Callithrix jacchus: one gene and its partners. The protein of the gene in region 6 purifies or fractionates together with the protein of the main gene of each other region. This does not show direct contact. Links are inferred from orthologs where the notes say so. Each region holds a gene or a part of one and is shown on either strand. Other genes may lie near its edges.

Evidence for each region.
Region 1: the proteins of EIF4A3 (region 6) and CDC5L purify together in Homo sapiens (affinity purification with mass spectrometry; 3 studies listed by BioGRID and IntAct, with this or other methods). This does not show direct contact. The link is inferred for Callithrix jacchus from reciprocal best matches to the Homo sapiens genes EIF4A3 and CDC5L.
Region 2: the proteins of EIF4A3 (region 6) and UPF1 purify together in Homo sapiens (co-immunoprecipitation; 8 studies listed by BioGRID and IntAct, with this or other methods). This does not show direct contact. The link is inferred for Callithrix jacchus from reciprocal best matches to the Homo sapiens genes EIF4A3 and UPF1.
Region 3: the proteins of EIF4A3 (region 6) and NCBP2 purify together in Homo sapiens (co-immunoprecipitation; 3 studies listed by BioGRID and IntAct, with this or other methods). This does not show direct contact. The link is inferred for Callithrix jacchus from reciprocal best matches to the Homo sapiens genes EIF4A3 and NCBP2.
Region 4: the proteins of EIF4A3 (region 6) and SF3B1 purify together in Homo sapiens (co-immunoprecipitation; 3 studies listed by BioGRID and IntAct, with this or other methods). This does not show direct contact. The link is inferred for Callithrix jacchus from reciprocal best matches to the Homo sapiens genes EIF4A3 and SF3B1.
Region 5: the proteins of EIF4A3 (region 6) and NCBP1 purify together in Homo sapiens (co-immunoprecipitation; 3 studies listed by BioGRID and IntAct, with this or other methods). This does not show direct contact. The link is inferred for Callithrix jacchus from reciprocal best matches to the Homo sapiens genes EIF4A3 and NCBP1.
Region 7: the proteins of EIF4A3 (region 6) and SRSF1 fractionate together in Homo sapiens (co-fractionation; 4 studies listed by BioGRID and IntAct, with this or other methods). This does not show direct contact. The link is inferred for Callithrix jacchus from reciprocal best matches to the Homo sapiens genes EIF4A3 and SRSF1.

What each region holds. Positions count from the first base shown.
Region 1 is NC_133505.1:52,881,203-52,885,105, reverse strand, and holds part of CDC5L (cell division cycle 5-like protein), read right to left. Parts: intron 3,280-3,903; coding exon 3,115-3,279; intron 1,597-3,114; coding exon 1,516-1,596; intron 1,219-1,515; coding exon 976-1,218; intron 1-975.
Region 2 is NC_133523.1:17,531,239-17,535,902, reverse strand, and holds the start of UPF1 (regulator of nonsense transcripts 1), read right to left. Parts: upstream 3,067-4,664; 5' UTR 3,014-3,066; coding exon of another isoform or gene 3,003-3,013; coding exon 2,772-3,002; intron 1-2,771. Other genes in the region: uncharacterized protein LOC144580760, read left to right, coding at 3,001-3,013, 3,067-3,458. UniProt on the Homo sapiens protein: RNA-dependent helicase required for nonsense-mediated decay (NMD) of aberrant mRNAs containing premature stop codons and modulates the expression level of normal mRNAs.
Region 3 is NC_133516.1:25,206,870-25,211,511, reverse strand, and holds the start of NCBP2 (nuclear cap-binding protein subunit 2), read right to left. Parts: upstream 3,017-4,642; 5' UTR 2,965-3,016; coding exon 2,887-2,964; exon of another isoform or gene 2,831-2,886; intron 1-2,830. Other genes in the region: protein NCBP2AS2, read left to right, coding at 3,177-3,476. UniProt on the Homo sapiens protein: Component of the cap-binding complex (CBC), which binds co-transcriptionally to the 5' cap of pre-mRNAs and is involved in various processes such as pre-mRNA splicing, translation regulation, nonsense-mediated mRNA decay, RNA-mediated gene silencing (RNAi) by microRNAs (miRNAs) and mRNA export.
Region 4 is NC_133507.1:118,370,101-118,374,003, forward strand, and holds part of SF3B1 (splicing factor 3B subunit 1), read right to left. Parts: intron 3,777-3,903; coding exon 3,564-3,776; intron 3,310-3,563; coding exon 3,188-3,309; intron 823-3,187; coding exon 625-822; intron 526-624; coding exon 424-525; intron 196-423; exon of another isoform or gene 59-195; intron 1-58. UniProt on the Homo sapiens protein: Component of the 17S U2 SnRNP complex of the spliceosome, a large ribonucleoprotein complex that removes introns from transcribed pre-mRNAs.
Region 5 is NC_133502.1:145,778,987-145,782,889, reverse strand, and holds part of NCBP1 (nuclear cap-binding protein subunit 1), read right to left. Parts: intron 3,289-3,903; coding exon 3,191-3,288; intron 2,212-3,190; coding exon 2,148-2,211; intron 1-2,147. UniProt on the Homo sapiens protein: Component of the cap-binding complex (CBC), which binds cotranscriptionally to the 5'-cap of pre-mRNAs and is involved in various processes such as pre-mRNA splicing, translation regulation, nonsense-mediated mRNA decay, RNA-mediated gene silencing (RNAi) by microRNAs (miRNAs) and mRNA export.
Region 6 is NC_133506.1:135,880,090-135,883,380, forward strand, and holds part of EIF4A3 (eukaryotic initiation factor 4A-III), read right to left. Parts: intron 1,676-3,291; coding exon 1,534-1,675; intron 848-1,533; coding exon 709-847; intron 91-708; coding exon 1-90. UniProt on the Homo sapiens protein: ATP-dependent RNA helicase. Involved in pre-mRNA splicing as component of the spliceosome. Core component of the splicing-dependent multiprotein exon junction complex (EJC) deposited at splice junctions on mRNAs.
Region 7 is NC_133506.1:108,329,303-108,333,936, reverse strand, and holds the start of SRSF1 (serine/arginine-rich splicing factor 1), read right to left. Parts: upstream 3,177-4,634; 5' UTR 3,054-3,176; coding exon 2,860-3,053; exon of another isoform or gene 2,444-2,859; coding exon 2,259-2,443; exon of another isoform or gene 1,894-2,258; coding exon 1,721-1,893; exon of another isoform or gene 1,521-1,720; coding exon 1,334-1,520; exon of another isoform or gene 961-1,333; coding exon 938-960; coding exon of another isoform or gene 922-937; 3' UTR 1-921. UniProt on the Homo sapiens protein: Plays a role in preventing exon skipping, ensuring the accuracy of splicing and regulating alternative splicing.

The DNA of each region.
Region 1 (3,903 bases), on a different chromosome or scaffold from region 6:
ACTCAAGCTAATGACCACTCTGCTTCCAACTATGAGACCCACTCTATCTTCTTACACAATTGTGGAGATTTCTATTTACAATCACAGTTGTTTGCTCTGTCAAAGAGAAGGAATAAAATGTGTATGGAGGAAAAGACCAGACACAGACTTCATATAAGAAATCATTTCTGGCCGGGCGCGGTGGCTCAAGCCTGTAATCCCAGCACTTTGGGAGGCCGAGGCAGGTGGATCACGAGGTCAACAGATCGAGACCATCCTGGTCAACATGGTGAAACCCCATCTCTACTAAAAATACAAAAACTTTGCTGGGCATGGTGGCGCGTGCCTGTAATCCCAGCTACTCAGGAGGCTGAGGCGGGAGAATTGCCTGAACCCAGGAGGCGGAGGTTGCGGTGAGCCAAGATTGCGCCATTGCACTCCAGCCTGGGTAACAAGAGCGAAACTCCGTCTAAAAAAAAAAAAAAGAAATCATTTCTTCATGTCTTTATCCAAAAAAGGATATCAGGGGGAAATCAGGTAAGGGGAGTATATTCAGCAAACAAATATTTCCTTTCTTTCAACAGGTGAAAGTTTAATATATAAACATTTTTATATTAGCCTCTCTCTCACCTCTTCATATTATTCTAAATAAGCAAGGTTTTAGTAGTAAAGGCATCAAATTTTCATTCAGAGATAGCAGAGCTGAATACAGAAAATGGCAACTGTAACAACTGTCAATCAAGCCATTAATACCCATGAAACAAAAACATCCTGGTGGTGTTTATTTGATAAAGGTCTAGCACACTGAACATGGGGGACAGAGGTATTTAAAGCATGTCCTTTTCATAACACTTAATCTAAACATGTAACTCCTAATCATATACTTTAGTCGTTTACAAATACCAATGGGGAAAATAAGTTCATTATTTGTCCATGATACACAGCACCTAACAAATAACTAAATCTCAAGACAGAAATATTCCAGCTCAATCATACCTTTTTCAGCTCTTCTTTGGAGAACTTTTCATAAGGATTATGTTCCAGATAGGTAATGTGCTCTGAATTATTGGTACCAAACGCTACAGTTTTGCCTTTTTTACTTCCAGATGGTTCATAAGGGTGATGTAGAAGGTCATAATGAAGCATTGTGATCATTTCTTTTTTGATTAGTTCTTCACTTTTCTGTAAATCTGTTAGAGGTGGCTCTACATTTAAGGGTCTTAGAATAGTTTCATTTACCTAAAAATTTAAAACAAATACAATTACCAAACATATCACTGCAATATATTAACATTAGTACCTGTTACAGCATGAATTAAATAGCAGTTTTACATTTTCGAAAGCAATTTCTATTTTTTTACTTTAAATTCTTATTAGTACTAGTGAAACACTTTAAAGACTGGATTTGAGAACTACCTTGCTATATTCCAGAAAGTAGATGAAATTTTGTTTTACAGTCTTTATGAATGATGTAAAAAGCAGCAATCATATAAAAAGAAACTTAAAACTTCCTAAACCAGAAATTCTAACACTTACTTCTGATGGTCTTGGCAGATCTTTCTGGACAGCTTTATGCATTCGTTTCATTTCCTTTACACGCTCTGCATCTCGTATGGCCTAAAAAATGATTTTTATATCCTTTATTGCAGCTATCGAGTATTTAACATCTCTCAATAAAGCTAAAAACACTTTGGTATGTAAGATCACATATGTTCAAGAGCTAAAGTTTAGAAATTAGTTTAAGTTTGTAGAAAGGCAATGCTAAGGCCACAAAAATGAATGTTTATTCATTCTCATTATAATAGAAACTCAGAGTCCCCACTGTCTACGAGAGCATTCTCCAAATTTGCATGAATCCATCCATCACATAACAAACTTTTCTCATCCAAATGGAAAATGTAAACTCCAAAGAGACTCCCCGCAAAACAACTCTTTCTTCCCTTTCACCCCAAATTACTGACTTTTAATTCAAAAAGCTAGCCAAAAAATGTATTGTTTCTTGATTGTTATGAATAATGTGGGGTAACACATTAAAATTTCATGCCATTTCTGAAGGAGTAAATGGAACTCAAAGTAGCTGAGACCTAAACACAAAAAGTATCATCCTCTGTTCCCCAATGAAAAGCACATTCACATGGGTCCCCTCTAAAATATTATTTCCACTGATGTCATTCTCACTCCAATCCCCTGAGATTAAAGGCTCCTAAAATCCTCCAGCAATGGACTGCAGCAAGAATTACTGAAAGGGGTCATATAATACCAGTACTAGTTTAGGAGTTACCACTTACCCACCATGAGACCTGAGAAAGTTGAGACCATGAGACCTGAATTCATCTGAGCTTATTGAGTATTCCTTATCAGAAATATCTGGCACAAGAGTATCTTAGATTTCTGATTTTTTTCAGATTCTGCAACATCTGCATTATACTAACCAGTTCAGCACCTCTAATTCAAAAAGCTTCAATGAGCATTTCTTTTGAGTGTCATGTCAGCCCTTAAAAAATTTTGAATTTTGGAGTATTTCAGATGTTGGATTTTTGGATTAGCAATGTTCAATCTGTAATACCAATCCTATTTATATCACTGTGCTATTATGTGCAAATGAGAAAATAATTATATATAAGATATATTACTACAAAGTGTTACTAATATTATTCTGACATACTCTAAATTTCCAACTCCAGTTTAGATAGAGGTCTTACTATATTGCCTGGAAAGGATCCTCCCACCTCAGCCTCCCAAGTACCAAGTAGCTGGGACTACAGGCTCCTACCATTGCACTACCCAGGAACCAAGATGTATTTGTTTTTAAAGCTAACCAATAACATCTTTTCTTTGCTAGACTGAAGTAATGTCAAAAAGACTTCCTATGTGTATTTTAGAGAAGCATAATGAATTTGACAGAATGTATTTAAATTTCCATATACATTTTTAAGAATGTCCATCAAAATACTGTGAGTATATTAATTATGTAAATGAGTATTCCTTATTAATGACATGTTATTTACTTTCAAAATTTTTTTCAATATTAAAAAGAAATAGGTAAAGATCTTGAGACATTTAACGGCTATTCTTCATTCTTCAAGCCTGCTGACACATTCAGCCAAGCTCACTTCTTTCAATGCAGTCACCCACCTGCTTTCGAGCATCCACATCGGCAGCATCTTCAATGTAAGTATCATCTATTTCACGTTCTTCCAGCTCCTTCTCAGCATTTTCTGGTAGAACAATTTCAAAATCATTCTTGGGGGCAGGAAGGCCCAGCAACCCTAAACGGAGATGTTCTCGAGATTCTCTTTCCTGTAGAAAAGAAGTACTCCTTCTCAATTCATACACATCAAATATTCAACCAGTATTTTATGAGTCTCTTAGAAACTGATAGCACAACAGGGTGACTCTAGTCAAAATAACTACCTTTCAAAATAACTAAGAGTATAATTGGATGGCTTCTAATACAAAGGTTAAATGCTTGAGGCGATGAATACTCCACTTTCCATGACATGATTAGTACAAATGCATGCCTATATCAACATACCTCATATATCCCATAAATATATACAGCTACTATGTATCTACAAAAATTAAAAATTATAAGAAGAGAAAGGTCTCAAAAAAATCAGCCTAGTATTAATTCTAGAAAAATAATCCTGACTTCAGAACTAAGATAAATCTTTGCTTTGTTTTCTATTCTTCCTTATTCCCAACATTCAGACCAATCGAAAACTTTCACCTGTTATTACTGAAGATACTCTGGGATATTCCAGTAGAAGGTTTGAGGACAGGGCAAAAAAAAGACCCCTATAATTTTCATTTGAGGGAATACATTTCTGACACTGAAATGTAACAGCAAATGAAAAGAACAGGTTCAAAAGTTAGTTTGTCCTTGGACTAATAAAATGCACTCTGAAAGATATCTGAATTTGT
Region 2 (4,664 bases), on a different chromosome or scaffold from region 6:
GGCACATCCGAGACAGAAAGCAGATGAGTGGTTGCCAGGGGCTGGGGACGGGGGTCGGAGGAGCTAAAGGGTTTATTTTTGCAGTGACAAAAATGGTCTAAAGTTTATTATGGTAATGGCTGCACAACACTGAATACACTAACTAAAAGCTGCCGAATTGTCCACTTTAAATGAGTAAACTGTATGGTGTGGTACGTGAATTCTATTTCAATAAAGCTGTTAAGCAAAAGTGACTGCAGGGCACTTGACAGCTGACAGCCACTGACCCAGTAAAATAAAAATCGAAAAGCAGAATGAGGGGCTGAGTCCTTCCAGGAGCCCCCAACTCACAGCTAGTTACACCGCCAACTCCTGAGGACAAAGAGGGAAAGTCTCCCCAAATGTCTTGCAAACACTGCCATCAATTCGCACAAGAGAGAACTTTCTTCTGCTTTCCCTTGAATGATATTCACAGACTTCCCTGCCCACAAATTCCAGTCTTCCCCTTGTGATACAAAGGGGTGCCACTGCCATTCCCCACAAACACATCCAAAATTACAGGCAACAGGTGGGTGGGGCATCTGGATCAATTAAAAACAGTGCAGGCCAAACCCTCTGATGTCACAGGAACTGCTGCGAGCTCAACTGCAATGGTTACCTCCAGGGAAGCATTTTAATGCTCTCATTTTGCACAGCCCAGTGTACTCAGGTGCAGGGAAAAAAAATCAGTTGTTTCAACTGAAAGAGAAGGACATGCCCCACAATCCCAAACAGAATGCCAGAAACAAAAGCAGAACTAAAGGCTGCCCCAAGTTTGCTGTTTCATGCTGGCTACAGTTAGAAGGATTCACAAGAAAATGATTACCTTTCACACCCAGCCAACCCCGCACCCATGCTGTCACAGCTCATGGCTCACTGCTCCCTGCTCCAGAGATCTTTACCGAGTCTCCCCAACAGGCTGGATGTCAGGTTACAGACAGCCTATACAGTTGACTAACACATGGATCTAGGTTTCCTTCAGTAAGAACAAAAATCTAACCGCCACCCCCATTGCACAGCTGCGAAGCAGAAAGGTCTACAGGGCATGAAAACTACAAGGTGGTGGGGCCTCCACAGCTCAGGCTCCCTTCTTCAGGGGAACTCTCCTCTTTCCCTCCCTCCCTTCACCAAATGTAAACAAAACAAAAAACACCCATATGTGCACACCTGTTCTCCTCACGCTGCACCTCTATGCAGGCCTTCTATTTTAAGAGATACAGGGTTAGAATGAGTCAAATGTTTTTTTTGCTTCCATTAGGGGCTAAAAGAAAGCCCAAGTGGGTGGTCTACCCACGGGAGTGACTCAACCGACTACCACGTAAGCCCCCCTCAACCAAGGACAGGGTCTGAGCTCACTCTGCTTGAGCAAGGGGTGGTTTCCCCAGCTCTGAAACACAAGCATATACCAAGGGACACTTCTGCCAAGGTGAGCCTTGTAGCTACTCCCTGGCAGAGCATTCAGGAAAATAAACCTGAGTGAGGTGTCAGGCACAAAGCAAGCCTAGGGTGAAAGCAACCTGAGATCCAGAGCACGATGAGGACATTCACCAGACCCCGGCCAACACCCTCACTCCAAAGCCCTCTCCCACCCCAGGTGGGCAGCACCCAGAACCAGGAAATGCATGCCTGACACTTTTCCCAAATCAAGCCTCCATTTAAAATACCCAAATAACCTTCTCTAAACATCCACATCATTAAAAAGTTTCCAAAGTGGCAGACTCGTTTATATAAAATCCACTATTGCTGTCTTATTGGAGGAACAAAACTCAAACTCAACTTTTTCAAGGCAAGAGTTGTGGAGTTATGTAACAGGTTGGTTTCAGCAACAGGCGATTCAAGGAAAAAAAACAAAACACAACCTGCCTCCCGAATGATCTTAATACCCAGCCAATGTGTGCTCCTCTGCGGGAGGCAAAAATTCTTCTCGGCTCCAGGAGCCTCAACCCTCCACTGGCCAGCGCCCCTACGCCTGGGGAAATTCGAACCTCGGCTCCTTGACCGTGAAAGCGGGGCGGGGGCGTGCCCAGACGGCTGCCACCGCAGATGGGAGGTGGGACAGGGAGGCCGGACTCGCCACTGGGGAGACGGGACAGATCCCCCCAGACCGAGCCAGAAACAGGCTTAGGGCAGGTCACCCTGGATACTCCCGGAAGGGGACTGAAAGAAATCACTCAAGATCCGGCGTGAGGAACACCCGGCCCAGGCCGTAAGGGAACTAGGGGTAGACTACAGAGACCTGCGGAAGAGGGTCCAGGGCAGGGCAGCCCTAGCCCGGCTGGAGTGGAAGAACCTGGATAAGTCAGCTGGCCAGGGGAGTGAGGGGGGGAAGCGGGGCAGGTTACTCCAGGCCACACTGGTTGTGGAACACAAGGCAGGTCAGCTCTAGCCCAGGCGGAGGAACAAACCCAGCCGAAGTAAAAGGAACAGGGGCAGGTTAGCTCGGACCCGGACGGAGGGGAGGACTCGAGGCAAGTCGGCCCGGCCCGGGAGTTGGGGTCCGAAGGAACTCAGCCCCGTACCGGCTGGAGCGGGGGCCCGGGGCAAGTTGGGCCAGGCCCCGGAAGAGAGCAGAACCTGGGGCAGGTAAGCTCAGGCCCAGACGGAATAGGGGACCCGGGGCAGGTCGGCCCAGGCCAGGCCGCGGTGTAGAACTCCAGGTAAGCCCCGGCCCGGCCTGGCCCGAGGCGGGGTCAGGGCAAGTCCCAGGAGCCGAAGCCGGGCCCGGGCTTCCGGCGCCGCCATGTGCCGCTCACCTGCGCGTCGAGCTGTCCCGCCGCAGCGCCCGCGCCCGCGCCGCCCGGGCCTCCAGCGCCGCCACCGCCCGGGCCGCCAGGGCCGCCGGGGGGCGTCTGCGTCTGGCTAGGAAGAGTGAAGTCGGTGAACTCGAACTCGGAGCCCTGAGTGTCGGCGCCGAGCAGCTCGGCCTCCTCCGTGTCCAGGAAAGTGAGGGTCTGCGAGCTGGGCCCGTACGCCTCCACGCTCATGGTGCCGCCGGGTAGGGCCCTCTGACCGGCTCCGCACCGCACTCGAGCCCGCCGCCGCGCTGAGGCCTAGGCCGCAGGCTTCGGGTCGCCGCCGCTGTAGCCCCCGCGCGTCCGGAACGGACAGAAACGCCCGCCCCGGCACCAGCCGGGCCGAGAGCTACGAGCGCCGAGACGCCGCTGCCACCGCTGAGCCCCTCCGCGCCGCCGCTTCCCTCGAAGCCGTCCGCTGCTCGCAGCCCTGAGCACGAACGGCCGCCACCGCCGCCGTCGCCGTGCGCGTGCGCGAGCCCGACGCCGGCGGAAGCGCGCGCGCTCTTCGCGGACGCAGCCAACCTGCGTTCGGGCGCCGGGAGCCAAGCGGCAAGACGGTACGCGCACGCGCACGCGCAGAGGGCGGGGCTTTCAACCGCCTGCGCGTCGGCAGCTCCAGGACTTTGGCCCTGCCCCAACTGCTAATCAGGGACGCCCGGCGGCGGGCGGTGTGGACTGGGCGGTCTGCATCTGTGGGCGGTGCGACAGTGTTTCGGTTTAATTGAGCGCTAGCCGAATACCTTACGTAGGTTGTCTCGGAACGCCCAACTGGAGAGGCTGGGCAAGGACAGTGCCCTCCCACCCCGGGCAAAAGCTGCTTAGAACGCAGTTTCCGCATCGGTAAAATAGGGGAATATCTCGCACACAGTAGATGCTCCCTGTGCAATGGTTTAATAAGAGAATGGGGCTCGGCACGGTGGTCACATCTATAATCCCAACACTCGGAGGTTGAGGCGGGAGAACTGCTTGAGCCCAGGAGTTCGGGACCAGCCTGGTTGACAGAGTGAGACTCCATCTCTACAAAAAAATACAAAAATTAGCCAAGCTTGGTGGTTCGCTCCTGTAGTCCCAGCTACTAGGGAGGCTGAGGTAGGAGGATTGCTTGAGCCTGGGAGATTGAGCCTGCAGTGAGCCGCGATCGCACCACTGCACTCCAGCCTGGCAGCAGAGCGAAACCCTGTCTCAAAAATAAATAAAAATAAATGAATGGGGATAGTCTTACGTTCTGGGCCTGGCACGTGGAAATGATGGTTGCTGCTGTTCCTGATTTCTCTGCCGCTGTTACTAACCAATTACAATTTTTGCTATGATTATTTAGCGGACGTATACAGCAAAACAATTGGAAGCATATGGTCTGTGGTGGAATTTAGACCTGACAACTTATTAGCTGTATGAAATTATACAAGTGACTTAACCTCTCTGAGCCTAGAGTTTCTGCTGCCAGTAAGGTGGGCTAGTAAGGCTGGGCAAGATGGCTATTTCCCGAAATCCCAGCGCTTTAGAAGGTAGAGGCAAGATGATCACTTGAGCCCAGTAGTTTGAGGCGAGCTATGATTGTGCCACTGCACTCCGGCCTGGGTGACAGAGATCCTGTGTGTGTGTGTGAATATATATACATATATATTATTATTTATTTATTTATTTTTTGAGACGGAGTTTCGCTCTTGTTACCCAGGCTGGAGTGCAATGGCGCCATCTCGGCTCACCACAACCTCCGCCTCCTGGGTTCAGGCAATTTTCCTGCCTCAGCCTCCTGAGTAGCTGGGATTACAGGCACGCGCCACCATGCCCAGCTAATTTTTTGTATTTTTAGTAGAGACGGGGTTTCACCATGTTGATCAGGATGGTCCC
Region 3 (4,642 bases), on a different chromosome or scaffold from region 6:
AACATCTCATTTTCCTACTGGGCTTCCAAATTGGGATGAAAGGATGAAGCCAGAGACAAGAATATAACTGGGCTTCAACCAGCACAACTGACAAATCCCTGGATCCAAAATGGCTCATCGAGGTCGGGCACGGTGGCTCACATCTGTAATCCCAGTACTTTGGGAGGTGGAGGAGGGTGGATTGCCTGAGGTCAGGACTTCAAGACCAGCCTGGCCAACATGGTGATGCCCCATCTCTACTAAAAATACAAAAAAAATTAGCTGGGCATGGTGGTGGGCACCTGTAATCCCAGCTACTTGGGAGGCTGAGGCAGGAGAATTGCTTAAACCTGGGAGGTGGAGGCTGCAATGAGCCGAGATGGCGCCATTGCACTCCAGCCTGGGCCTCAGAAGCAAAACTCCATCTCAAAAAAAAAAAAAAAAAAATCCACAGAACAATAGTCATTCTATGTTAAAATGAGGTTTCTAGAACTATGAGACATTAGACAAAGTAAATTCCTGTCATTTTACTGCTGTCACTGATTTGTTAACATGGATGGGGCATCTTCTTTTTCTACTTTCCTCACACATAAGTAAGGTCCAAATAAATAGCCTACAGTTTAAGATAACTACGGTACAAGTACTTAACTATATGAATATGGATTCCATTCACAGAATGCTAGAAATTCCACATGACAGTATGGTATTATTATCTAAATAAAGCTCTAGGTTTTAGACTGAAGAGATGAATAATAGACAAAGTCAAAAGTTTTCAGTTTTCATTTTACATTGAAGTTAAAAATGGTTAGGATGTGGAATTGTCTGAAGTAATAGCTGTAAAAGTGGTAGAAGTGCAAATCATGCCTGGCACTAAAGCATCTAAAAACCTGACCAGCCGGGATCAGTGGTTCATATCTGTAATCCCAACACTTTGGGAAGCCCAGGCAGGTAGATTGCTTGAGTCCCCGAGTTTGAGACTAGCCTGAACACTGCAGGGAGACCTGTCTCTACAAAAAGCCATATGTAGTGGTGCGAACCTGTGGTCCCAGCTTCTCCAGAGGCTGAGGTGGGAGGATCACTTGGGCTTAGGATGCTGAGGCTGCAGAATCGTGATTGTGCCACTGCACTTCAGCCGAAGCAATAGAGCTAGTCTCTGTCTCAAAAAATAAATAAGTCTTGTTTTATTTGAGACATACTCTCACTCTGTCGCCCAGGCTGGAATGCATAAATAATAATAAATCATTTTAAGACATAGTCTCATTCTGTCACCCAGGCTGGAGTGCAGTGGCATGATCTCAACTCACTGCAACCGCCTTCTGGGTTCCAAGCGACTCTCCTGCCCCAGCCTCCCAAGTAGCCAGGATTACAGGCAACCGCCACCATGCCCAGCTAATTTTTGTATTTTTAGTAGAGATGGGGTTTCACCATCTTGGCCGGGCTGGTCTTGAACTCCTGACCTCGTTATCCACCTGTCCTGGCCTCCCAAAGTGCTGGGATTACACGTGTGCGCCACCGTGTCGTGCCCGTCCTTAAAAATTTTTTTTTTTTGAGATGGAGTCTCGCTGTGTTGCCCAAGCTGGAGTGCAGTGGCGCGATCTCAGGTCACTGCAACCTCCGCCTCCTGGGTTCAAGCATTCTCCTTTCAGCCTCCGGAGTAGCTGGGACTACAGGCGCGCCCCACCACGCCCAGCTAATTTTTTGTATTTTGAGTAGAGACGGGGTTTCATCATGTTGGCCAGGATGATCTCGATCTGTTGACGTCATGATCTGGCCACCTCTGACTCCCCAAGTTCTGGGATTACAGGCGTGAGCCACCATGCTCGGCTGAATAAATTTAAGAGCTTCCCCAATTTGCTGTCAAACAAAATTTCCTTTTCCCTACTTTAGTAACACATTTCACACATTCTCCACACCTACCCTCTGCTATGTACAGCCCTTCATTTCCCAGTCACATGGGGATTCCCCCCGCTTTTCTGAATCTTCACTACTTCTGTCTTAACTCACTTCTGCTTAGATTCTGATTACTTCCCTCCATTTATAATCCATACTACGGGGAATTATGAGCTCGTCGAGTGCAAAAATCTGTCTTCCCTCTCCCTCTAGGGTTTAGTACAAGGCTTTAGCAACAGCACTCAATAAACATTTACTAAATAACTGGGTTAAAGAGTCCCGCTAGCCCCAACCGTATTCCATCCCTGCCTTTGTTGATACTGAAAAGCCTACTCTGAATATCTGCAGCCTCCCCCTTTTTCACAAAATATAGTGATACAGTATTCGATATAGTTGGGACTAAAAATTTCCCTCTTCTGAAATGCAGCAACTCTCCCATCTTTACACCCTCAACGTGCCCAGCTTGACGGGTCCACCTCCTACTCCGAAGGTTCCCCGAGGGCGGAGTGAGGACTCCACTCGTGTCTCCCACGCACCGCGTACAGTTTCCGTAGGACCACCCTCCCAGTGAGGGGGCCCGAATCGCGGAAAGGCACTGCTTCGCTGATTTAAAAAACAAAGTAAAAAGCCCCGTGTCTGCATCAGGAAGGCGCCTCTACAGACTCAGGGAGTTAGGACACCCCTCCCCCTTGTTACGTAGTCACCTTCCCGAGGCAAACCGTGGAAACGGGAGCCACTACTACTACCACTCAAACCTCTCGGCGCTGGCCGGGGTACCGGGAGTGCCTGCTAGGGAACGGGAAAGCGAGCCTCAAATTCTCAATCTTCCAGAGAAAGTGGCTTCATCGATATCCAAACGCCCTTGCAGCACCCATTCCCTGCCTCCCCAGCAGGCACCGAGGCCCCACTTGGCGTTTGGGGACTCCAGCATAATGGGATGCAACACGAGACAAGAGCAAACCGTTTCTCAGCGTTCTGGCCCAGGGCCTTCCCCTCTCGCGGCCGGGCCTCCCTCACCCGGAAGTGCTGGTCCCGGTACTGGCTCAGCTCCACGTAGGAGTCGCTGCGCAGCGCCTTCAGGAGGCCACCCGACATAGCGCAGAGAAGCGGACGAGGATGCGACAACTCCCGACACGAGGCGGCGACTGCCGTGGCGGAAGCGGAGACGGGCGGAGACGCGCATCTTATTGGACCCAATCCGGGCGACAGTATCGTCATCAAGCTGCGCGAGCACAAAAGGCGTCGGGTCGGGCCCGCGGAGCAGAAGGTAAGGGCGGCGCGCTGCGGTTTTCGGGCGCCGGGAGAGGATGGTGCTCCGACGGCTGCTGGCCGCCTTGCTGCACAGCCCGCAGCTAGTGGATCGTCTGTCGGAGTCGTGGCCTATCCGACGTGCGGCGCAGCTCACAGCCTTCGCACTGCTCCAGGCCCAGCTGCGGGGCCAAGACGCGGCCCGCCGCCTGCGGGACCTCGCGGCTGGGCCCGCGGGCTCCCTGGGCCGCCGCGTTGAGCGATTCAAAGACGCTTTCACCCAGGAGCTACGCCGCGGCCTCCGGGGCCGCTCAGGGCCACCACCAGGTAGCCAGAGGGGCCCGGGCGCAAACATTTAAGCCTGGGCTGCGCGGGGCTGAGGCCGCTTCTGGGCTCTATTCTGGCCTCGGCGTTGAGGGGTCATTCCGGGCACTGCGCACGGCCTCGAATCCTGACTCCGATTTTTGGCCTGCGGATATCCCACTCAGAAGAGCCTAGGCCAGACCGCCGTCTCCGTTGAAGTCTTGTGATTTGACAAGGCACAGTGTGGAGAAAGACCCCGAAGCCTAACAGAGGTGAAGATGGGCTGGGTCCAGTCACAGCACCTATGGAGAGCCACCGGCCGAAGCCACAGAGCCTTTCCTCTGCAAATGGGATTGAAACTCTTGACAGATGCTGCTGAATCTGCACGGGTATAGCAGGACACTTAATTCCAGGGACGATATGGATAAAAAGACCACCCTACAGCTGCCAAAATCCTTTGATTAAATGTGTGAGCTGATTAATAGGCATGAGTGTGATACTTCTCAGGCAAGATGGATGAAGAATACTGGGGACTGTAGGCCTATGGTAATAATAAACACATACTTTATGAAATGAGTATTTATTCTGTGCTGCGACTTGCTAATAGCATTCTGTGTGTGTGTTTTTGTGTCATCTCCTTAAAACCACATTCACATGAGGAAGCAGAGATGGGGTAGTCTCATTGTGTTGCCTCGGCTGGTCTCAAACTCGAGCCCAACTGATCCTCCTGCCTCAGCCTCCCAAAGTGCTGGGATTACAAACAAGAGCCACTGAAACAGAAACAGAGGCTGCTGCTTAAGTTGCCCAAAGCCTTGCAGAGTAGGATGTGGGCAGAGGCATTTGACTGCTGGGCTTAAGTCCTTAACACAGCTCTGCAGCATTTATCCTGACGTTGGATGCCTTCCTTCTCCAACCCCCCACCATCAGGCATTAAGACTACTGCCTAGGAGCAGGGTGTGGTGGCAGTTGCGTCTGATCCCAGCCACTCCAGAGGCAGGAGGATCGCATGAGCCAAAGAGATGAGCCTGGACAACATAGCGAGAACCTGTCTCAAAAATAAAAAAAACTACTGCCTGCCATGGAACGAGGTACCTGGACTCCTATCCCTCATTTTAGAGGGTCTGGGATACAAACTAAGACTATGATCCAGCTAGTTAGTGGACCCATGATTAGAAAATCCATTGTATATAGAAATGTCCTGTCATTTGAAGCTCCTAGCTAA
Region 4 (3,903 bases), on a different chromosome or scaffold from region 6:
GTCCTTGATAAAGATGAAGCAAGAGTAATTATAAATTCCTAAACATAAAAATATAGCACTACCAAAAGTTAATTTCTTTGCAGGCAAGGCTTCCTAAATAACCTTTACCAATTTGGGCTATTTGGGAGAGTAAGGAAAGGCCATACTCCACAGTGGGCTATACCAATAGCTCACTACTATTTTGTGGACTACATTTCCTGGTGAAAAAATTTAAAAATTAAAAACATTTTTAAAAATATAAACATGGCCAGGTTCAGTGGCTTACACCTGTAATCCCAGCACTTTGGGAGGTAGGCCGAGGCAGGAGGATCACTTGAAACCAGCCTGGGCAATTTGGCAAAACCCTGTCTCTACAAAAACTACAAAAATTTGTTTTTAATTACATAAGCAACAAACATGACAACTTAACAAACTGAGACTTACCTTTCTCATTGGTGGTGTTCCATTCTTAATTTTTAAAAGTAACTTCATTATTTTTCTCTCTTTTTGCTCTTCTGGACTAAGTGTAGATTCATCAACATCAACCTATAGTAAAAAGAAAACAAATGTTAAGGCAAATTGAAATGTTATGATTTATAATTCTGGAACACAATGTAATAGTTTATTTCTGCTAGCAATACTTACCAGTAATTTATCAAAGTACTGAATATCATCAGGTTTTAAAAATGGAAGATTTCCAGATGGCTGGTCATTAACACTTTTCATAGTTCGATCTTCAGTTTGCATGTGAAAACCAGTCATACCACCCAAAGGTGTCGGAGTAGCTGTCAGCTTTCGAGCTGGAGTTCGAATAGGAACATAACCAGCTGGAGGAGGAAGTACCTAATAAAAGTTATAAGACATTTTAGAATTATCTTAACTTGAAAAACATTTGCACTTAAAATATTTTACAGTTTATTAGTTAGAAGGTTTTTATTTGCTTGGAGACAACACCTATCTTGCTTTTCTAATGTAATTAGAAACTTAAAATACATGCTTCTCATCTGTTGATTATATCAGCTGTATAGGGAACTGAGGAAATACAAGAGAAGAGCTTAGAAAACACTAATCACGTTCAAACATGTTGTGGGTCAAAATGTCAAATTATTAAAAATTTGAAAATAAAATCTGAGTCAGCAATTCCAAAAAATGCTCTAGTAAAGCAAATAACGTTTAATAAGTATTTATATAACTGGAAATAAGCTCATACGGTGTATACAACATATAAAGAGCTATATTTTAGTATTAAAATATCACATAAATTTCTGCACTCTAAAAACAAATCTTTTAAGGTAAAACTCATAAAAACTAAAACCAAAATGTTTACCAAAGCCCTGTAAAATATACCACCTAATTAAACCTTTTGCAAAACCAGTAAAATTTCAAAAACTATTGGCTAAAAATCACAAATAATTTTTTTTTTAAGCTGGTAACAGACTTAAAAAAAAAATTACAACTTCTGGTCAGGCCAGGTGTGGTGGCTCATGCCTGTAATCCCAGCACTTTAGGAGGCTGAGATGGGAGGAACACTTGAGCCCAGGAGTTTGAGAACAGCCTGGACAACAAGGCGAGACCCCATCTCTATTTTATATAATTTGATATATATAAAATATCTGCAAAATACAGATATTTTTCGTTGCTAGTTAATGTCTGCACCAGCACAGACCACTAAGCATTCTGAATAAAGTGGATACTCTATAGATGTGAAGCCTAGAAAAATCAGTTTCAAGTCCACAGAAATCACTCGCCATTAAGAATTTAAAGGTCTCCTATATTTTTATATTCATTAGTAAGGATGTTGCTTTTTAGGAGGATTCACACTAAGGGAGACTTTTCCTCCTAGTGACACTAAGGAAATCAATGACTATGACTGAGAAAGAAGCTCAGGCAGTCAACAGTAGGTTATATCTATACCCACAGCATTATGTGGAGTCTACAAAAAGCTTTTAAGCAAAAATTCATGCAAACTTGAAACACATACTTAGCAAAAATAACAGGGGATCAAAAACAAAACAAGTCTGGGGACAGTGGCTCATGCCTATAATCCCAGCACTTCAGGAGGCCAAAGTGAGAGGACAGTTTGAGCCTAGGAGTTTGAGACCAACCTAGCCAACACACTGAGATTCCATCGCTACAAAAAAAAATTAAAATTAGCCAGGTGTGGAGGTGCATGCCTGTAGCCGCAGCTAACTCAGGAGGCTGAGGCAGGAGGATAATTTGAGCCCAGGAGTTCGATGCTACAATGAGCTATGTCAATGCCACTGCTCTCCAGTATGGGCAACAGAGTGAGACCCTGTCTCTAAAACAAAACAAAACAAAACCAAAAAAAAAAAAAACACACACAAACTGTTAAAAATCAACAGTCATTAACAGAAAAAGCTCTGTAAAGGCCATCAGATGATTTACAAAGTCATCTGGTTTCTCTGGTTATAATCTCAGCTATACGACCACAGACTACCTTTAGACTAACAAATACTCCCTAAGTGTCAGCTACCTAGAAAATTTTATAGTTCAAAATAAATTTCAAGTTGATATGGCAAAAAGAACGCTGGGCATGGTGGCTCACGTCTGTAATCCCAGCACTTTGGGAGGCTGAGAAGGGCAGATCACCTGAGGTCAGGAGTTCAAGACCAGCCTGGCTAACATGGCAAAACCCCATCTCTACTAAAAATATAAAAATCAGCTGGACATGGTGGCACACGCCTATAATCCCAGCTACTCAGGAGGTGGACGCAAGAGAACGACTGGAACCCAGGCAGCAGAGACTATGCCACTGCACTCCAGCCTGGGCAACAGAGTGAGACTCCATCTAAAAAAAAAAAAAACCACCACCACCACCAAAAAAAACAAGAATATTCTTTGTGTCCACTGATAATCCATAAACTTAAGGACACAAAATCTTGGTAAAACACCAAGAAAAAAAAACCACAATCTAAAGGAGTTTATTCCTGGGACTGATGGAAAACTGAAGCAGCGGCAGTTCTCAAAGTCTAACCAATAGTCCTTGAGATTTCTTTCAAAAATTAATTTCTTGTTGTTCATTTCTTTTCATCTCTCTTTGGAACTGAAACATACTTGGAAATACCTAAGAGAATGGAATGACAATACTAAATTTGGGCAAAGCCAATGCAACCTTGATCAATTTTTTTTTACTATTTAAAATAAATGCATATCCTAAATACAACCTCATTCATATTTGATGTACTACCTTATATCCTTCTGGGAACATTGCATCTAATTCTTCATCAGAAAGTGGGCGATTTCTCTCATCAATTTCTCTTTCCCACCGCCAAGCCTGAAGCTGTTCAGGAGTCATACTCATTATGTGACCTACCAAGAAAAGCAAATTTTTATACAATCTATAGTGCAACACTGTATTATTACATATATCTTTGAGATAAAAGAGCATTAAGACCAACCCTAACATTTAGTTGCTTTTATATTATAAATGCAAACCAAGACTTATTTTTTTATCTCCTTATTCTAGCTAGTAATTGACATTAATAGCACACAGAATACCATAAAGAAAAAATTAAATAATTTGTAGAGGAAAAAACAATTATTTTCAATGAGAGAGTTTCTACCTGGAGTAGGGGTAGCCATGTTCATGGCTGGTGTGCCAATTGGTGTTTTTCCAGGGGTCAGAACTGGAGTGCTTCCACCCATCTGACTAGCTGGTGTTTCATCCCACCGTGATTTTCTTTTACTGGCTCCAGGAGTCGGTGTTTCACCAATAGAATCTCCACCTCGATCTGTTCGAGGAGTCTCAGCCCATCCACTTCCATGCCCAGGAGTGTCTTTAAAAAGAAAGAGTGAGTAAGACCACAATTTTAATCACTGTTAAAATAATATTTTTTATTCTCAGTTATAATCAAATCTATTAAGTTCTAAAATAGAATATTCCTTATTTAAATTTCTAGTGTT
Region 5 (3,903 bases), on a different chromosome or scaffold from region 6:
TGAGACAAGGAAATACAGCTTTTTGAGGGGCTCAAAAGTTCCATGACAGTTTCGTTCCTGTAAGTAATAAGAACTCTTCAGCCAGGTGTAGTGGCTCACGCCTGTAATCCCAGCACTTTGGGAGGCCAAGGCAGGCAGATTACTTAAGGTCAGGAGTTCAAGACAAGTTGGAAAGCATGATGAAACCCTGTCTCTACAAAAAATACAAAAATTAGCCATGTGTGGTGGTGGGCTCCTATAGTTCCTGCAACTTGGGAGGCTGAGGCAGGAGAATTGCTTGAACCCAGGAGGCAGAGGTTGCAATAAGCTGAGATCGTGCTACTGCACTTCAGCCTGGGTGACAGAGCGAGACCCTATCTCAAAAAAAAAAAAAAAAAATCCTGTTAGATTCTGGGGACAGGAAACAAGATAATCAAGTCATTCCACACTGTTATTTGAAATAGATCCTCAGATCTTTCTGGCAATCCAAGACTTCCTTGCTATGCCTCTTATTCAGAAGCTTCCTTCCCACCCTCTCTGTATAATTGGTGGACCATCTGCCTAGAATTCTAAAGTCCTAGTCTGCATCCTTTACTCTTACCCATCTCTCACACTTCTACACTTGGGTCTAATGAATGTCTATAAATTTTGCAGATTTAAAAATGACATTTTGCATTTCAGGCATGTCACTGAAATGAGCCAAGTTCATAGCATTAAGTATACACAAGTTTTGTAAAGAAGGGAAATACACAGTACTTTTTTAAAAAAGCACAAAAGTGCATTATTAATAAAATATGTATCTTAATATATCCTATCAGGCCCAGTTAGCTCAGTCAGTAGAGGATGAGACTCTTAATACATCCTATCTATGCTCTCTCTTTCATGAATGCTAATTTATTTATTTTGAGACGGAGTCTCACTCTGTCACCCAAGATGGAGTACAGAGATACGATTTCAGCTCACTGCAGCCTTGACCTCCTGGGCTCAAGTGATCCTCCCACCTCAACCTCCCAAGTTGCTGGGACTACAAATGCACACTACCACGCCTGGCCTTTTTTTTTTTTTTTTTTTTGTATTTTTAGTGGAGACAGGGTCTCGTCATGTTGCCCAGGCTGGTCTTGAACTCTTGAGCTCAAATTATCAGCCCGCTTCAGCTTCCCAAATTGCTAGGATTATAGGCATGAGCCACCGTGCCTGGCCCATGAATACTTTAATATATATATATTTTAAAAATGCAGTGGGCCGGGCGTTGTGGCTCACACCTGTAATACCAGCACTTTGGGAGGCCGGGGCGGGCGGATCACGAGGTCAAGAGACCAGCCTGGCCAATATGGTGAAACCCTGTCTCTACTAAAAATACAAAACTTAGCCAGGCGTGGTGATACACACCTGTAGCCCCAGCTGCTTGGGAAGCTCAGGCAGAAGAATTGCTTGAACCTAGGAGGCGGAGGTTGCAGTGAGCTGAGACCATGCCACTGTACTCTAGCCTGGGCAACAGAGCAAGACTTCGTCTCAAAAAATAAATAAATAAATCAACCAAAAACCAAAAAAAGAAATAATGCAGTTAACAGTTTGACTCATGTCAAGTGAACACTTTCTTTTTTAAATATACATCTCTATAAAGTATTCAACTGTATATTAACATCAACTTTTGTATGCGTTAATATGAAGTCAAAAGTGTTGCTACTCTATTTCTAAACTGCTTGGCTCTTTAGATTTCTAAGAATAAATAATGATTCATCTCTACTTTGTGTTACAGGAAATAATATACTAACCAACTGCATGCTAGTAATAAGAGGCCAAACACAATTAAAGATATGTGTCTAAAATGATAAAGTATTTAAGCCACTTATATGTCTGTTAAGTGGACAACGTATTGACAGAGCTAGAGGTAACTTACAGTATCCACAACAACTATCTATGAATGAGGACATACTATATAATAATTTATATGCAACTCAAAATTCCATTTGGCTATTGGTTTCAACCTTTTTTCTCTTTACTAACATGGCTAAACAGCACCAAAACTGACAGCAATTTCCTCACTCCTCTGTTAATTTTCAATGTCTGACAAGTAGCAAAAAATAAATAAGCCAAGAGTAGATTATACTTTAAAGTCAACAGAGAGATTCCAAAACTGAGAAACAAGCTCCACATGGAATGCATACCTCAACTATGTGGTAGTTCAAGGGGATCTTGTTCTTCCCTGGATAGCTCACTAACTGTGCAGCACTATAAAAAGTGTAATTTAAGTTTAATAAGTATACAAAGGCACATGAAAAGTCAAATAAGCAGTTTCAAAAGCAATGTGTTTAGATATAAGCAAAGAAAAATCTTTTTTGAAATGTCCTAGATTTCAGTTACTTCATTTAACTATGGCATAAATTATTTTATCTATCACAGAAAAATATTTAATGCATCCAAAATTTCTTGAAAGATCTATGGAAGCACATTCAAATGTACTAACTTAAACAAGTTTTAGGCCAGGTGCAGTGGCTCACGCTTGTAATCCCAGCACTTTGGTAGGCCGAGGCAGGGGGAATCATCTGAGGTACAGAGTTCGAGATCAGCCTGACCAACATGGAGAAACCCCGTCTCTACTAAAAATACAAAATTAGCCAGGCATGGTGGCATATGCCTGTAATCCCAGCTACTCGGGAGACTGAGGCAGAAGAATCACTTAAACCTGGAAGGTGGAGGTTGCAGTGAGCCAAGATTGCGCCACTGCACTCCAACCTGGGCAACAAGAGTAAAACTCCATTTCACGGAAAAAAAGAAGTTTTAATAGGGTAGATCACTGTCAAAATACTGTAATTTTTCTACCTTAAAATCTAAACCAAACTTTCCAAAGTTTAAGAAAATTTTATTTAAAAAAACACTCCAAAGCTTGGATGTCTAAATGCTAGAAAACAGAGCAAAACCATTGGTATCCAAACCGCAAATAACTTGCCATTCAAGCTCTCCATAGCATATAAATATCCACAGCAAAAAACTGACATTATATGCTTATTACTATAAAGCACCTTAAAAAGTACTACATGAAGGTGAAGAGCCTCAAAGTAAATCAAGTGTTTTTAGAAATTGGTCTTAGCAAGACAGGGAGTTAGGAGAATAAGATTTTCTAACACTCTGAACATACGCTTTGCTCTTACTGAATCACCAAAATTGCTGCTTTTTCTCCATTCTAAAAGCACCATGAAAAGAATCTTACCAAGTCTTCCTTTCCTTCCAGTGGGACTTAATGATGCAGTGAAGATTCTCTTCTATTACAAATCTTTCCACTGAATGACTCCCTGGCATAACAGGACCCTGGAAAATAACCAAACGTGTACACACACAGGGCTAGGAAACAGATTTCTTTCATTTATTCAACAAATATTTGAGAGACTATTTTATTCCAGGCACTATACTGGGTGGTGAGGATTAAAGCTCTATATTTTAGTGAATTCCACTGTCATGTTTACTTATACCCCAGAGTATCAGCTGTAGTGTTTCTTCTACTACATCTGATACCTACCATACAACCATTGCCCACTTTACACACCAATTCTTATATGAAACAAACTAAATAATTTTGGGTATTACAAGCCTTACAGTTTTTTTAAACCAAGTAGATTATTTCCATTAATATGGAGAGAGAGAAAATCCTATTCAAACACCATGTAGCCATTAAAAAGTCACACATGAATGGAAAGATGCCCACAATATACTAAGTTTAAAACATATTATCTACATGGCATTATTTTATTCTTAAGTATATTCATAGCAAACAGGTTCAAAGAACAAAAAACAGACCTTTAATGGTGACTTTCAGATGATTTTAATCTTCTTTACAATTTCTATTTTTTTTTTAATAAACAACTTTTAAAAGGCCAGAACCACCAAATCCTCTTTGTTTTGAGAGTAATAAGTATTTTATATATT
Region 6 (3,291 bases):
GATGGACTCCCGCTCTTTCTGGGGCATGTCTCCATGCATCGAGGACACGGTGAAGTTGGCTTCTCTCATTTTCTCCGTCAGCCAGTCCACCTACAAATGCCAAACCACAGATGTGCATTCAGGATTTTACCTCCACCATCTGCTGAACCAGTGTCAATATTCATAGGTAACTGCTCCTAAAACTCAGAATCATCTTAACTGGATGTGCAAAAAACACCTTTCCCCAGAAAATGTTCGGGTGCCCCTACAAAACCCTCTTCATTTTCTCCACATGATGATTCTATGGGGCAAGGGGCCAGGTCTGCTCATTCTCATTTGAAATTTAAGTTTAAATTCCAATCTTGTTAGAATGTAGCCCAACTCCTTTCCTTTCTCAGGAGAGTGGCCGAGAGTTCTCAGGTCTGCCTCCAAATGAGCATCACCTAGGGATCTGAAACCACTCAGGCCTGGGTTCCACCTTAAACCAACAAAATCTGCGTCTTTCAGGTGGCTGACGTTGTCGTCGTTCTGTAAATAAAGTTTGAATGGTCACAGCCACGTCTGACCGTTTGCATACTGTCTACAGCTGCTTTCCCAAGAGACCACGTATCCTGGAAGCTTAAAATATGGACAAACTGGCCCTTTACTGAAAAAGCTTGATCTAAGTCATTAAGAGACTCAGTCTTCAATTTCCCTTCAAGCACCTGGAGGCAGTATAATGCGTCTTACCTTCCTTTTGGTGTTGCAGAAGATGACCGCCTGAGTGATGGTCAGTGTGTCATAAAGGTCACACAGAGTATCAAATTTCCACTCTTCTCTCTCCACTGCCACGAAAAACTGCTTGATGCCTTCCAGAGTCAATTCATCACTGAAGGACAAAGACAAATCCTGTCACACACTAGGACTGAGGGCAGGCCAGGCTCTAGGGAGACCCCGGTGGAGAAGGTCACACCCTGATACCTGGCGCAGACCCAGCCCTGTCCCCCATCCTGCCTCCATTCTATGCCCTACTCAACATTTCACAATGTGCACCACGTGAAATGATTCTAACTAAAACATGATAAGTAAATACCATCACCCAATGTTTAAATTTGGGATTACTGGTTCAAAGCAGAATGAGTATTATAAAAACTGGTTTTCTGTTTGGTTTTGTTTGAGACAGGGTCTGTTGCCTTGGCTGAAGTGCAGTGGCACGATCACAGCTCACTGTAGCCTCAACCTCCTGGCCTCAATTGATCCTCCCACCTCAGCCTTCTGAGTAGCTTCGACTACAGGCGTGAACCACCAGACCTGGCTAACTTTTTATTATTTGTAGAGATGGCGTCTCCCTATACTGCCCAAGATAGTATTTGGTTTTTCAAAACACAAATTTTAAAAGAACTTGCATGCTTTAAATTCCTTTACCTCCGGCAGTGTGGCCTGAGGCCCAGATTTTGATACAAGCCTCAGCAATACAGCAAGACCCTGGCTACAAAAGGTTTTTGAAATTATGACATAAAACTCTTTATACATGCGGGCCAGTGTTTAGTAACACTTGACACAAGGGGCGCCTACCGTTTCACCAAGATGCGGATTGGGTCGGTCATGAACTTGTTTGTCATCTCCAGAATCTCGTGTGGCAGCGTGGCACTGATGAGCACCACCTGTGTGGCTGGAGGCAGGTACCTGTACACGTCGTAAATCTGCTCTTTGAAACCTGGGACAGGGAGCAGGACAGGTGAGGGATGTTTAGGATGGCACAGCCAGAAATGGAACGTGCACACCACGTGTTCCCACTGGGTTAGAGGCAGAGTTGTGATAAGGTGCGGCTGACAGGGAAGCTCATCTTTACAGAACCGGGACACACCCGCAAATTCTCTGTCCCTACTCCCCACCCACCGGAGCAGGACAGAGGAAACCTGGTTTCCCTTTGATGCTTCTTCAATCTGAAGTGCTCTAGGGATCGAGAAACCCACCCCAAGGGTCCTAGATGCCAAAAAATGAAAACCGACAGACAGGCTGGCCTGAGTCACCCTCAGTTCGGATGCCTCCACCTGCCACTGTCCTGTGAGGACTGCCATCCACCATGACCACACGTGCAACATTTCAAAGAGAATCCAAACATCCTGATTGTTACAGAGCATCTCCCAGTGAACAACGCTGCCTACCTATCCACACTGTTCAACACGACACAGGTGGAAATTAGTGCAGCAGCCGGCATACCTGCACCCTGCACCCTCCGCCAGGTCTGGGCAGAGCTGGGCAGAGCTGGGCAGAGGAGGAGGGAGCCAGGAGCAAGCAGGGGCCCGGCCTCCTCACCACAGGCCCAGTTAATGAACTTGAGGCTCTCACTCCATACATCATATGGAGCCAGAGAATCTGCATTTCTCAAAGTCTCCAGGTGACAAGGCTGCTTCTGGCCTGCTGCCCTCACCGTGAAAATCCCTGCCCTCAGGGCCGGCCAGAAGCACAAGGAGCCACCCACAACCCAGGGCTTCCTCAGCCACCACAGAAACAGTGAGGTCACCGAAACTTTAACCTCACTGAGGAGCAGAGGGGTCCAATAAGCAGCCCCAGACAGAGGACGGGAGGGATGAGAGGTACTAAGAGCACAGCCCCCCAGGATCCCAAAGAACTGCTGGAACAAGAGGCCGGGACCCGAGGATGGGTGGCCCTGGGGAATGCTGACAGCACAGCACTTCCTCACGGCCCACCGGTGCCTTGTGAAGACCCTGGGGGGCCCACTACGGATCCTCACACTGAACTCAGGTCATGCATTTCCTAATCACTGAGAGAGCAACTGCTATCACCTAGAAGACTGCATAGAGCTCATGTCAGAACACCTATGAAAACCCAAGGAAGTATACATCCGAATCCTACCAAGTTATCTTTGTCAAGACAGTCTCGCTCTGTCGCCTCCACCTCCCAGGTTCCAGCAATGCTCCTGCCCCAGCCTCCCAGGTAGCTGGAATTACAGGCATTCGCCACCACACCCAAGTAGTTTTTATATTTTTAGTAGAGACAGGCTTTCGCCACGTTGGCCAAGCTGATCTCAAACTCCTGACCTCAGGTGATCCGCCCGCCTCGGCCTCCCAATGTGCTAGGATTACCGGTGTGGGCCACCATACCAGCTTCCAATTTATCTTAAAGAATGAAAATCACCTACACAGCCAAGAAATGAATCATGGAATATCCATCCCTCCAGTAGAATACCTCATTGCCATTAAACAGGCCACAGAATACTTTTCTTATCATGGACAGATACATTTTTATAAAAGCAGATTATCAAACCAAACACAGGATTCCATGTGTATTAACCACAGCTATGTACAA
Region 7 (4,634 bases), about 28 Mb from region 6:
ATGATGAGTTATGTCAGTCATCAGTTTAACAGATGCACATCAATAACTATCAAATTCCCCAAAACAAGTTTCTGAATGGTGTTCAGATAAATTTTAGAAACTTAATCATCATAGAGACTAACTGGAAGAAGCATCTTATATTTACAGTTCAACTGATAATGCCAACACTTGTTACTGTACAGTGTATTACAGGTTTCGTGGTTGCAAGAAGTTATGTAATTTAAGTTTACTGGCATTGCTACCCACCTAATCTAAAACTAAATCTAATGCTCCCATTTGCAATTTAATTTGTAAATTAAAGTGTTTTAAACATATGAATCAATTATGAATATTAAAGGGGAAGGTGAGACCTAAGTATTCCCAACTAGATTATCTACACCAATACATTGGAACTCTATTATTTTGCTTTCATTTTGTCTTAAAAAAATGAAATAGCAACGCTCTATCAGTCACACAGAGGACATGCAGATTTAGCAGTATTGATATTATACTCTATCTTGTTGGATTTAAAGACACCCTCTACCCACATGTACACCAACAGCAGGTCACACATTAACAGTTGTAACTAAGCACTGCGACAAATTAGCCAGTTCTTCCCACATTAGTCCCTATTATAACAAAAATGGGGGGAAGGGAGCAAAATAAGTTGCTACAAAATGGGCAACATAATTTTGCCACAATTGCCAAGGTTTAAAAGGTAAAGCAATTGTAGCTAAAGGTAACTGAATAAAACATTCAAGTGTTTTAAGGAAAATGTATATAATCATTTTTACCCCCCTGCCTTTTAGTATAAGGTCAATACTGCCAATTTCATCTGTGACAATAGCACTTGGAGTCATACCATTGCCTCCATTATTGATCTGATCCTCCTCAATCCTCCTTTTGACAATCCTAAAATGATTGAAATGTGCTCCACAATCCTTAATCCAAAGCATTCTTAATCCATCTCTTCAGATATGTCTACAGAAAGACACATGAAAAGCAAGATAAACATAAGAACTTCCCCAGGTAAGATAACCATAAACATCCCCAACATCCCAGTTCACACAAATCAGGGCAAAATAGACATTTACACAATATCACAGTCTGAAGAGTATGGAGTTAACTAAATTTAAACAATCCTGTCTATGACATCACTTAAAATACAATTTATCGAAGACACGAGGGGAATGTAGATGTTAGGAGCAAAGGGATATTACAAGAATGCAATTCAACACTTTAGCCCATTCTGAACAAAACAGTTTGAATTAAAAAATGAAAAGATTGTACTGAATAAAGGAAAACTGTATACAACATGGGTTCTACAAAAAGTGTCACCAATCATCTTATGTACGAGAGCGAGATCTGCTATGACGGGGAGAATAGCGTGGTGATCCTCTGCTTCTCCTTGGGGAGTAACTGCGACTCCTGCTGTTGCTTCTGCTACGGCTTCTGCTACGACTACGGCTTCGAGATCGAGATCTTCCATAACTTGGACTTCTGGGCCCATCAACTTTAACCCGGATGTAGGCAGTTTCTCCCTATTGGATAGACAGAACTTTCCATTGAAAGATCTAAGCTTTCACCTAGCTTCAGGCATGCTGAATGAATACAATGTAACTAAAACCAGAAATCTGGCAATTTACTTGGACACCCTTGCCTGAATCCTTACCTTCAAATTCCACTGTTAAGACCACTGTATCCAATTCTGGTCAAAAAAAAGAATAAGCATATAACCTACCTCATGGGATCTAAACTTAGTGTTATCCAGTTTTCGAACTGCATAGGTCATATCTTCTTTCCGTACAAACTCCACGACACCAGTGCCATCTCGGTAAACATCAGCATAACATACATCACCTGCTTCACGCATGTGATCCTTTAAATCCTGCCAACTTCCACTTGGAGGCAGTCCTGAAAAAGCGATTTTTTTTCTTAGTATCAATTATCTTAAATTTCACGTTAAGCTGATAAGGTACATTAGGACAAAGAGTACTTTAAAATACTTAATAGTTGTACTTAAGTGATACCAGGTAAAGAGCTGGTAAGATTCTGGAATCCAGAGTCCAAAATTATTTGTAACGGATCTTCGTATCTAGTACCGCAACCTAATTTGGTAAATCACCACAGCAGCAATCCTCGTTTATTAAATTCACCCAAAAACTAAAGCAATTTAAGACCTAGCATGAAAAATTTGCAATTGTTAAACCGGTCACGCAAGAGAAAATTTTTAAGTAGTTTCCGTCCCTTCACATCAACCACACAACCGGTAGACTTACCAGAGACAACCACTCTGTTTTCAGACCGCCTGGATGGGGGGCCATAGCGACCTCGGGGAGCTCCGCCACCTCCACCCCCGCCGCCTCCTCGGCCTGTTCCACGGCCGCTTCGAGGAAACTCCACCCGCAGACGATATCCATCGTAATCATAGCCGTCGCGACCATACACCGCGTCTTCCGCGTCCCTGCGGGATCGTAGACAGTAAAAGGCATGAGAAAGACCAGGAGGAGAAGATCGCTCAGTCGGGAACCAGCGAACCCCCCGCACATGCGCACCCAACGTGGAAGAGCCCACATGCGCCGCATAATGGGAATGACCCCTCCCCCACCCAGAAACACGCCAGGCTCCCAGCCACTACACCAGCCCTCAGCGCCTCAGTTTCCCGCTCCAGCCTGCGAATGGGCTCCGGGGACGTCCAAGGCGAGGCGCCAGAGAAGCCACACCAACTCAGCTCCTCACTCGACTCCTGCATGGGCGATACAGTCTCGCCCCATCCTCTCTAAGAGCCCCCGCCTTCCCGTTCTCTATATTAAGGCCTTGGAGTCTTCCCCGACCACTCGGACCTATTTCCTCAAGGCTGCAAGCCCCATGCCGCCTCACCGCGGGTCCTCGAACTCAACGAAGGCGAAGGGCGGTCCCCCGCGGCGATTCTTGAGATCGATGTCGCGGATAGCGCCGTATTTGTAGAACACGTCCTCAATGTCCTTGGTTCGGATGTCTGGAGGTAAGTTACCCACGTAAATGCGGCAATCGTTGTTCCCTGCGGGGCCACGAATCACACCACCTCCCGACATGGCGGCGACGAAAAACGTGGACTCGAGAACGGGCCTTCCCACCAAGCCTAGCGCACGGCAGAGCAAGCCCGCAGCGGCACCACGTCTCCCGCGGCCCCTCCAAAATGGCGCCTTTATCAGTTCGGCGCACGGATATGGGGGGGGGGGGAGACAGAGGAAGAGAAGCGGAAGGAAACAGCGATTCGATCCCAACACGCACGCGCTGCGAAGACTACGTTCAACGTACGCGCGCGCACGCACGCGCGACGTCACCCTCCGCACGAAGGGGGAAAAAAAGTCCCCCGCGTTCCCGGCTTGGGGTGGTTTGCGAATAGAGTGGCCGTTTGGTAAAAGTTAAATAAAGAACTCTCTCTAAAGGAGCTAGTCTTCCAGGTCGGGTCTTGAAGGACAGTCAGTTTCCCCAGGAATGAGGATCTCTGAAAGCAACTCGGCGCCTTGAAAGGACTTGGTGAAACCTAGCCTAGAGCCTTGTCCCACCATGCTCTGCGGCGATAACGGCCTTTGGCGGGAAGGAGTCTCGGGGGCGGGGCCAAAGGGGGAGGGACCGGGCGGTTGCTCCGGAAACCCAGGCATCCTTGTAGAGTGCGTCTAGTTCAGAGCTGAGGTGCCATTGGAGAGCTGGGGCGTTGGTTTGTCTTCCCTCTCCTCCTGCGAACAGGGCGTGGCTCCTTAGACAATGAGATTTGTCTAATTTAGCAAAACCGATTTCGATTCCTAAATAAATCCTCTTCACTAAGTACCGTTCCACCTTCTGGTCAGAACTTTGCATAGCTTAGTTCAGCACTCCTTGTGCTTAGTCGCGGTGGGTAGGTCGTACTAGCTATCCGGAAGGGGTGAAAACACCGTACCGCCTCTGGGACCCACACCTCTGTATCTCTTGTTAGTCGCCTATCCGTGGGACTGGCGCAAAAGATTTGCAAATTTGTTTCCGTTGTTTCCTTTCAAATAAAGAGAAGGAAGAAGGGGTGCGTGTGTGCAGTTTTCCCTAAAAGTTACTGATATACCAGGTTTTGAAACTACCAGTCCTCTCAGGTAATAAAATGGAGCGAAATGGATGTGAGAACCGTAACCACTAGAGACCGCGGTTGCTACTCAGGACTGTGATCTACTTGCCTGCAGTCTTGGGAGATAATATTTTACATTTTTTTCCGACGTCTAAAATCTAGATTTTTTATGTTAAATCCAGGGATTTTTAAGGTAATGAATTCAAATTAAAATCAGGCTGGGCGTGGTAGCTCACGCCAGCACTTTGATGGGCGGGTCACATTGAGGTCAGTAGTTCAAGACCAGCTTGGCCAACATGGTGAAAACCAATCGCGGTGGCTCACGCCTGTAATCCCAGCACTTTGGGAGGCCGAGGCGGGTGGATCACGAGGTCAAGAGATCGAGACCATCCTAGTCAACATGGTGAAACCCCGTCTCTACTAAAAAATACAAAAAATGAGCTGGGCATGGTGGCACGTGCCTGTAATCCTACCTACTCGGGAGGCTGAGGCAGGAGAATTGCCTGAACCCAGGAGGCAGAGGTTGCAGTGAGCCGAGATCGCGCCATTGCACTCCAGCCTGGGTAACAATAGAGAA